Oryctolagus cuniculus: one gene and its partner. The protein of the gene in region 2 binds, or shares a complex with, the protein of the main gene of each other region. Links are inferred from orthologs where the notes say so. Each region holds a gene or a part of one and is shown on either strand. Other genes may lie near its edges. The genes, in order: ARHGAP35 and RASA1.

Region 1 (3,873 bases), on a different chromosome or scaffold from region 2:
AAACAAGCCAAAGTCCCCTCTCCCAAGTTAAGGAAGAAAAAGGGTTGGATGACTTTTCTACAAAACCATCTCTACCTCCCAATCGATTTCCTAAGCCCCAGCCCCAGCAGACCACTGAAGAGAACAGCTCAATGAAAGGTAACAAGGCACAGTTCCCAGGTAAGAAGTCTAAATCCACCCCATCAGCCAGCTCCCGGCACCCCTCTCCACGCCATCAAACCAGGTCACCCAAAGGGTTTGCTTGGGGAACGTCATGGCCCACCCACACACCCCTGCACACCGCGCCCCTGGATTAGCCTGTGGATCTGGCCAGAGGCTCTCGGCTCCTGTGGCTGGGAGCGCCTGCAGTGCCAGGGGGCAGAAATCCCTGTGACACTTGGCACTCTCTCTTTCAACAAACAACCGCAAAGCTTTGCAAACCCAGGCCCTCACCAGGCTGCACCAGGCTGAAGACCGGCAAGCTGGAGCCTTCCTGGGGCAGGGGTGAAAAAGAAAGAAACCCACCTCCTCCGAGCCCCTCCCCCAAGGTCAGCCGGCCAAGCGGAGGCCGTCAGGGAAGCCAGGGCTCCGGGAAGCCAGGGCTCCGTGGCTTCTGCAGGCCCAGAGCAGTAAACACCAAGTGTGGCCATAGCCCCGAGGGACTGAGGAGAACTTGAGAACTGGCATTTCCCCAGCTAGGGGTAAAACAGAAACACGACTTGTCAGCTGGAAAAAAACAAAAAAGCACACTCCTAAGATCTCCCAGCAGGACTGCCTTGGGGCAAGTGTCTCCCTGCCCCAGCCCAGGAGAGATAAGGACCTGCGAGCAGCTGCAGTCCAGGGGACACAAAGCTGCAAAGCCCAGGGATGGGAAGGGGAGAGGAAACCAGGCCCGAGTGCGAGCCACTCCCGACACTCCACTAGCCTCGGGAGAGGTGGGAGCCGTGGAGACACTTCCAGACTCCAGGGAGCAGGAACCTATTCACCCGGCTCTCTGGGGATCCTGGGGACAGAGCCCCGGGAGGGGGGGTCAGGTCAGCCTCAGAGCTGAGGGCTGGGGCCCAGAGCCCGCCAGGCCTGCAAAGGGGAAGCACTCCGGCAATGCTGAGCCATGGGTGGGGAGCCGGCAGAGGCAGGTCCGACAGGAACTGGATGGGAAGAGAAGGAGCCAGGCAGGATGCGGTGGGGAAAGGGGGGAAAGGCGAGGAGACACGGAGGCACAGACCGCGAGAGGGGTATGGAGAGGGAGTGACCTAGCGAAGAGCTGAGGCGGCTCCCAGAGGAAGGAACGGCTAAGACGACAGCTTAGTGTCCCAGCAGAGAGGCCAGGGCCGCAGCAGTGGGCACAGAGGGGCAGCAGGTCGGGCGGACCGCGGAGGGAACGGATAGGAGGCAGTTGTCAGAAGACCGGCTAGAGAGGACCCCTCCAACAGGGCACGGCCACAGGACGGCTACCCACAGGCGCACGGGCCGGGGCCGGGGCCGGGGCCGGGGATGGGCGCAGAGCGAAGATGCAGGCCTGGGAGCTGCGGACGCGGCGGGGGCAGAGGCACCGGGCAAGTCCAGGAGCAGTCAGGGGGCAGGGCGGAGGCGGCGGCAGGAAGCAGGCTCGGGCCGGGCAGGGCTGGAGGGGAGACAGTCCCAAAAAGAGGGAGCGGCCGGCAGGGCAGCTCAGAGGAGCCCCGAGAAGAAGGCGCGGACGAGGACACCTGCGAGGGAACTGGGGGTGAGCTCCGGCTGGTTAGAGAGGGCAGGCAGGCACCTTGAAGGGGGAGGAGGCCCAGCAGGCACCGAGGTCGGGCGAGGGGCAGAGCAGGGAGGCAGAAAGGTCTGGAGCAAAAGCTGAGCGGGGCAGCAGGCCAGCACGGCGCACGCAGGGGCTGCGGGGCCAGAGGCCCGGCCAGCAGCATCCCCGGGATGGAGACGAGGGCCCGACGCGAAGGGCTGCAGGGCCCCCGGGGAGGAGCAGGGACGTCCTAGGCGAAGACCTGGGCGCAGCCGTGCCCCCGCGAACGGGGGTGTTGGCTGGATCTCCAAGAAGCACCCGCAGGTCCTCAAGGGACAGCTCCTGGGGGCGCGAGAGACCGGGAGGCAGGACTACCGGACAGGTCCACCCAGGAGCCGGGGCCAGAGCCCCAGCGTGGTGGCAGCAGAATCGGGGAGCGGAACGCAGGGATGCACAAGGGGTCACCGGGGAGGAGGTGGGTCCCCAGGGCACTGCGGAGGCCAGGAGCGGCCAAGGGCATCCCCGAGGGGCAGGGGAGGGGAGGGGAGGCGCGGAACTGCGAGCAGGGAGGGCTGACGGGGGTGGGGGGCCAGGCAGACACCAGGTCCCGACGGGCTGGGGATGGGAGCAGACGCGGGGACAGCAGGCCCCGGGCGGACAGGGGCGAGTCCGAAGGGCAGGCGGGCCCTGCGGGCCGGGCCCGAGCGCGACGCGGCGGGGCCGGCGGGGCCCGGGGACCTGGGGGGCCGCTCCCTCCCCTCCCCCTCCGGCTCCTCCATTGTTCGCGGGCTCCGGGCCCCGCCGTCCCCGCCTCCCCCTGGACCCCGCAGCGGGGCGGCGCCCGGCCTCGCCGCCCGGGGCCCGCGAGCTCGCGCACTCACCAGCCTGCGCCCTCAGCGCGGCCCCGGCCTCGGGGATCCCGGCCGCGGCGACGGCGGCCCCGGCGCCATGTTCCCCTGCTCCTCGTCCAGCGGCGGCTGCGGCGGCGGCGGCGGCTCCGGCGGCGGGGGGCCGGGCGGACCCTCCCTCGCGGGCTCCCTCCTCCGCCTCCTCCACCTCCTCCTCCCGCCGCGCCGCGGCTCTCCCTCGGGGCGGGGGGCGGGGAGGGGAAGGGGGGAGGGGCGGGAACCAGGGGGAGGGCGGACCAGCCTCGCTCGCTCCCTCCCTCCCTCCTCCCTCGCAATGGCGGCGGCGGCGGCGCCTCCTTCCTGCGGCCGCCGCGCCCGCGCGCGCGCACACACACACACACACGCACCCCCCCGCCTCAGGACTGCGCGTGCGCGGCGCGGGACCGCTGCAGGGGGATAACGGCCCCTGGGCGCGCGCCGCGGGAGGGGCGGTGCGGATAACCGGCGCGAGGCAGCGGGAGCCGCGAGAGCGCCTGCGCGCCCGCTGCGGTCTGGGACTGGGAGCGGGCGGTGCAGTGCGCCTGCGCCCCGAGGAAATGCCGCTCCTGCGACTGCGGCGGCGGCGGCGACACCGAGCGCGAGGAGACCCGCGAACGGGCTGAGGGAGCGGGGCGAGCGAGTGCGCGTGCGCGGAAGGGGCTGCCCGAGGCCGGCGCGAGGCGGAGGGCGTGGCCCGCCGTGGGAGCGCGCGTCCTTGCGCGCGCCGGGAGCAGCCGCTGCCGCCCCCCGCAGCCTCGCGCGGTCTCTAGGAGAAAACTGGAGCGGAGAGGCATGGCCTGGCTCTGGAGGCGGGGGCAAAGGGCGCGATCCCGCTCGCGCGGGACCTAGGTAGCCAATGGGAGGCACGGGGAGGTGGGCTTGCCGCGCTAGCCGCGGCCCCCGGGATAACGGAGGAAGAGAGAGAGGGGGCGACGTAACGTGGGGCGGTGGGGCGGGGCCGGGGAGGAGGGAGCGCACCCAGGGAGGGAGTTGATTGGGCAGCGCGAGGAGGCGTGGCCCGCCGCAGCCCAATCCGAGCCTGGCGATTCGTCGTCCCGGAAGAAGGGGCGGGGCTGCGGAGCGCGTGCTCTGCGCCGGGGGACCTGCGCCTGCGACCCGCGTGGCGGCCCGACTTGCTCTTGACCCCGAGGTGGGCCGGGTCCCTGGGACGAGGAAGGCGGCCCGGCCTGGCTCGGCGTGCCTCCTTGCCCGCCAGCCCAGCGCCGGGCAAATGGCTGGAAGGCAGCCGGCGTTACGGACGCTGGAGGGGAGGCAGCGATG
Region 2 (3,857 bases):
GCACACTGAACCACTATACTATATTGCCTCCAGTAACTCTAGATTGACATCTAAGATTAAAAAAAAAAAGGAAATTTGCACTTCTAAGTAGTATATTTTAAAAGCATACTTAGACATGGAGGGTACTTTTAGAACATCAACAACTGTCATATACACAGACGTACAAGTTTTATTCTTACTCCTAAATACAAAAAAATGATGAAAATCTCACTGAACAGACTTCTCACAAATCCATATTTTCCTAAGTACACACTCATCTTTATTATTAAAAATTTAACAAGAACACTCTGCTTTCCACTCAATTCTGCTGTAAGCTAAAATTGCTCTAGATAACAATCTATTAAAAAATTTTTTGAACTACAATATCCTAAATAGGCCTAAATCAATTCAGTTATGAACTGGTATAAGACTAGATTCTTTTAATATGAAAAATTACAGTTTATTAAAACCTTAGCAATAAGTACTTAATATTAAGTGTGCACATAATATTTACCTGTCATTTTTTCCAAAAAAGACTCGAAGGTGTGCAAGTAGCACTAAAAAACCAATTTTTAACATTCCCAAGAAATCTGCAAGACACACACATGAAATAACTTGGAATAAAATCAAACAAAAAAATTAATGTGTCAGTAATACAGCATCTTTTCCTAATTTTCCTAATTACTTTTTTCTTAAGATTCATTTTGAAAATCAGAATTGCGGGGGGGGGGGGGACACAGAGCTAGAGAATCTTCCATCCAATGGTTCACTCCCCATATCCCATATGGCCACAAGGGCCAGGCAGAAGCCAGGAGCCAAGAGCCTCCTCCAGGTCTCCGATGTAGGTGCAGGGACCCAAGGACTTGGGCCATTCTCCACTGCTTTCCCAGGTTATTAGCAGGGACCTGGATTGGAAGTGAAGCACCTGGGTTTCCAACCAGGCTCATGTGAAATGCTGTTGCTGCAGGTGGCAGCTTTACCTGTTACACCACAGCTGCAAGCCCTCCTCATCACTTTTTAAAGTCTTTCTAAATCCTCCAAAGTATTAAAAACAAAACAAAACAAAACAAAAAACACCTTTGGCTTGTCCAGAGTGACCATCCATCCACATACCAACCAAATGTTTTTTTCCTGATGCTCACCAAGGCTGCTGAAATCCTAAACATCATTTAAGACTGATGTGACAGATCACGTTTTGCCTACTAGTGTCCCTTCCTGTTCCAACATTTAAGTTATATTTAAAAAGTCATGCCCTGCATATTCTAAATGTCAAAATTAATTTCAAATAGAAGACCGTATTGGCCACCAACAAAAATTCTGAAGCGAAGCGCCGTTAAAATCTGTTTCGCATGAAGACTGTACTTCGAGCGTCTGAACTACAAAAGCATTACAGGTCCATCAACCAAGTCAGTCTACGAAACACGTTACCAGCTCAGAACCTGAGTCCTTCATCACACGCCTAACTCTCACAACTCTTCTTTCTCCCGGACCCACGTTCGCCTAAGGGATCAACACTTCGCTGCATCACTCTGCCTTCGTAGACAGAAGTTGGAGAAGTCGGTGCCACAAAAGCAAAGCATTCTGGTCAATGGATTGTTTTCTCTCCACGCTATCCCTACACACTAACTCATCAGGGCGCACACACACACAAGTCCATGTACACTGCGACTGCCTTGGCTCCGGGCAGGCTTGGCGAATCCTGGGGCACCCATTTGCAGGGCACACAACCATATCCGGTTCTCACTGGACACACACTTTTCCCATGCGTCCCATCTTAAAAACTACATCTTCCCAGAGGAGCCATGAACACACAAAGACGCCCCGGGAGCCCGCCTGTCGGGAAGAGGAGCGCTCCAGTTAAATCCCTACGCGCGACACCCGCAGCTCCACCAACTCTGCACAACAAATCACAGCCGCCAGAGAACAAGGTGCGTCTTCCCCCAAGCCCGCAACCGCACAGCCCACTTACTGGTTAGTCGGCGGCGCCGTCAGCGGGATGGCCACCTCTTCCTCCTCGTACTCTGGTCCATCCAGGGAGTCCCCTTCGTCCACCGTGCCCAGACCCGCACCCAGCGGGGGCAGCAGAGGCGGCGGCGGCGGCGGCAGAGGCGGGAAGCCGCCGCCCGGCCCGAGGGTCTCGGCCGGCAGCAAGGGGGTCCCCTTGGGGAGGGCCATGTCCCCACTAGGTCCAGCAGCGCCTCCCCCTGTCAGTCCCGCGCCCCCCAGGGCCCCCGCCACGGACCCGGCCCCCAGGAACCCCGACCCCACAGCGGCCCCGCCACCCAGCGCCCCGGCCTCCACCAGCCCGGGGCAGGGGGCGGCGGCCGCGGGGAGCTTCACGCGACACACCACCGGGTAGGCGGCACCGGAGCCCGCGGCCGCGCCGCCGCCGCCGCCGCCGCCTCCGGCTCCGGCAGCCACCGGGCCGCCCTCCTCACTGCCGGCCTCGGCGGCCATCATGTTGAAGCCCGCTGCGCTCAGCCTGCGCGGCCCGCCCGGGAGCCCCGGGGGCCAGCAGGCCCGGGCTCCGAGCCGCCCCACCCAGGCGCGTCCCCCCTTCAGCTCCCCAGGCGGAGGAAACAACAACAAAAGGAGAGAGCCCGCCGCCGCCGCCGCCGCCGCCGCCGCCGCGCCCCCTCCCCGGGCCACAGCCCAGACTCGCGGAGCCGCCTGCGTTACGGAGCGCCAAGTGGGCAAAAAAAGCCCAGCGCCGGCACAAACGCCGCCCCGGGCTCGCCTCGCACACCCACACTCACGCGCACACACATGCACGGACGCGGAAAACTTCCTGCGCTCGGGAGGAAGGGAAGCCCGGGGGAAGCGGCCGAGGCGGCCGCCGCTCCCTCAGCCGCCGCCGCTCGCTCACCACCCGAGTTCCGGCCACCCCCACCGCAGCCGCCGCCGCCGGGGCCGCTGCCTGGGACGCAGCCCCGGCAGCCGCTGCATCCTCCACCAGCCCGGCGCGGGGAGGGGTGGGCAGGGGAGGCGGGAGGGGCGGGGTGGCGAGGAAACCGCGGCGCTGCTCGCTACCTGCAGCGCTCGGGTAGTGAAACCCGAGACAGACCGGGAGGGAGAGAGAGAGAGAGAGAGAAAGGAGGGCGGGGCCGGGGAGGAGCGGCGGGGAGAGGAAGGGCGGCGGAGGCGGAGGGCGGCTTCTGCGCAGGCGCGGCCGCGCGGGGCGGGCGGGGCGGGAAGCGGCCCGCGAGGGGCGGAGGCGGCGCGGCGGCCTGGCCCGGCCGCGCGCGCGCGCGCGTGTGTGTGCGTGTGTGTGTGTCTGTGTGTGTGTGTGGCAGGCTGACATGAAACCCCGGGAGGCGAGAGGAGCTGGAAGAGCATGGAGCGGAAGGAAGAGCCCACCGGAGCCACTGCCGCGCTCGCTGACGGTGACGAAAAGCGGCGGCGCGGAGGCCCGACGGGGCGGGCGGGCGCGCGGCGAAGGTCAGCGCAGCGCGGGTGTGGGGCGCAGTGACCGCACGGCGACTGCCGCACTGGCAGGTCAGCTCCAAGGCGGCAGTCCCGGAACTCGGGAAAGCGCCGCGGGTGCCGGGAGCCGTGCGGGCAGGCGGTCGTGGTGTGGAGCGCGGTGTCCGCCGCCCCGTGCCGGCGCCCGTCCAGGTGGACGGTGAGGAGGTGTGAGAAGTGCCGGAGCCCGGGGCGGAGCGCCTGCACAAGCCCCTTGTCCAGGGTGTTCAACAGTAATAGCCTGGACCTCACCCTTAAAGCGCACAAGGAGGGGTTTTGTGTTCTCTTTAAAAGTATCCCTGGGGAACTGGTCCCAGGGCCTCCACCACGGGATACCAGGCTCTCAGGATGCTCGAATCCCTTTTTTTTTTTTTTTTTTTTTTTAATAAAGTGGTGTAGCGTTTGCACATAAGCAC

Evidence for each region.
Region 1: the proteins of RASA1 (region 2) and ARHGAP35 are in contact, whole or in part, in a crystal structure (PDB 8DGQ), measured with the Homo sapiens proteins. The link is inferred for Oryctolagus cuniculus from reciprocal best matches to the Homo sapiens genes RASA1 and ARHGAP35. Residues at the interface, in NP_002881.1 of Homo sapiens: Arg188, Arg207, Ser209, Arg211, Val217, Asn228, His229, Phe230, Arg231, Ile241, Gly242, Tyr256, Leu262, Leu263, Lys264, Lys358, Ser379, Asp380, Asn381, Ser387, Gln397, Arg398, Phe399, Lys400, Met411, Gly412, Gly413, Arg414, His425, Tyr426; in NP_004482.4 of Homo sapiens: Ser1085, Asp1086, Tyr1087, Ala1088, Glu1089, Pro1090, Met1091, Asp1092, Ala1093, Val1094, Val1095, Arg1098, Glu1100, Asn1103, Ile1104, Tyr1105, Ser1106, Val1107, Pro1108, His1109.

The regions. Positions count from the first base shown.
Region 1 is NC_091449.1:10,575,182-10,579,054, forward strand, and holds the start of ARHGAP35 (rho GTPase-activating protein 35), read right to left. Parts: upstream 2,883-3,873; 5' UTR 2,587-2,882; intron 1,706-2,586; exon of another isoform or gene 1,566-1,705; intron 1-1,565.
Region 2 is NC_091445.1:10,199,008-10,202,864, reverse strand, and holds the start of RASA1 (ras GTPase-activating protein 1), read right to left. Parts: upstream 2,816-3,857; 5' UTR 2,440-2,815; coding exon 1,949-2,439; intron 1-1,948. UniProt on the Homo sapiens protein: Inhibitory regulator of the Ras-cyclic AMP pathway. Stimulates the GTPase of normal but not oncogenic Ras p21; this stimulation may be further increased in the presence of NCK1.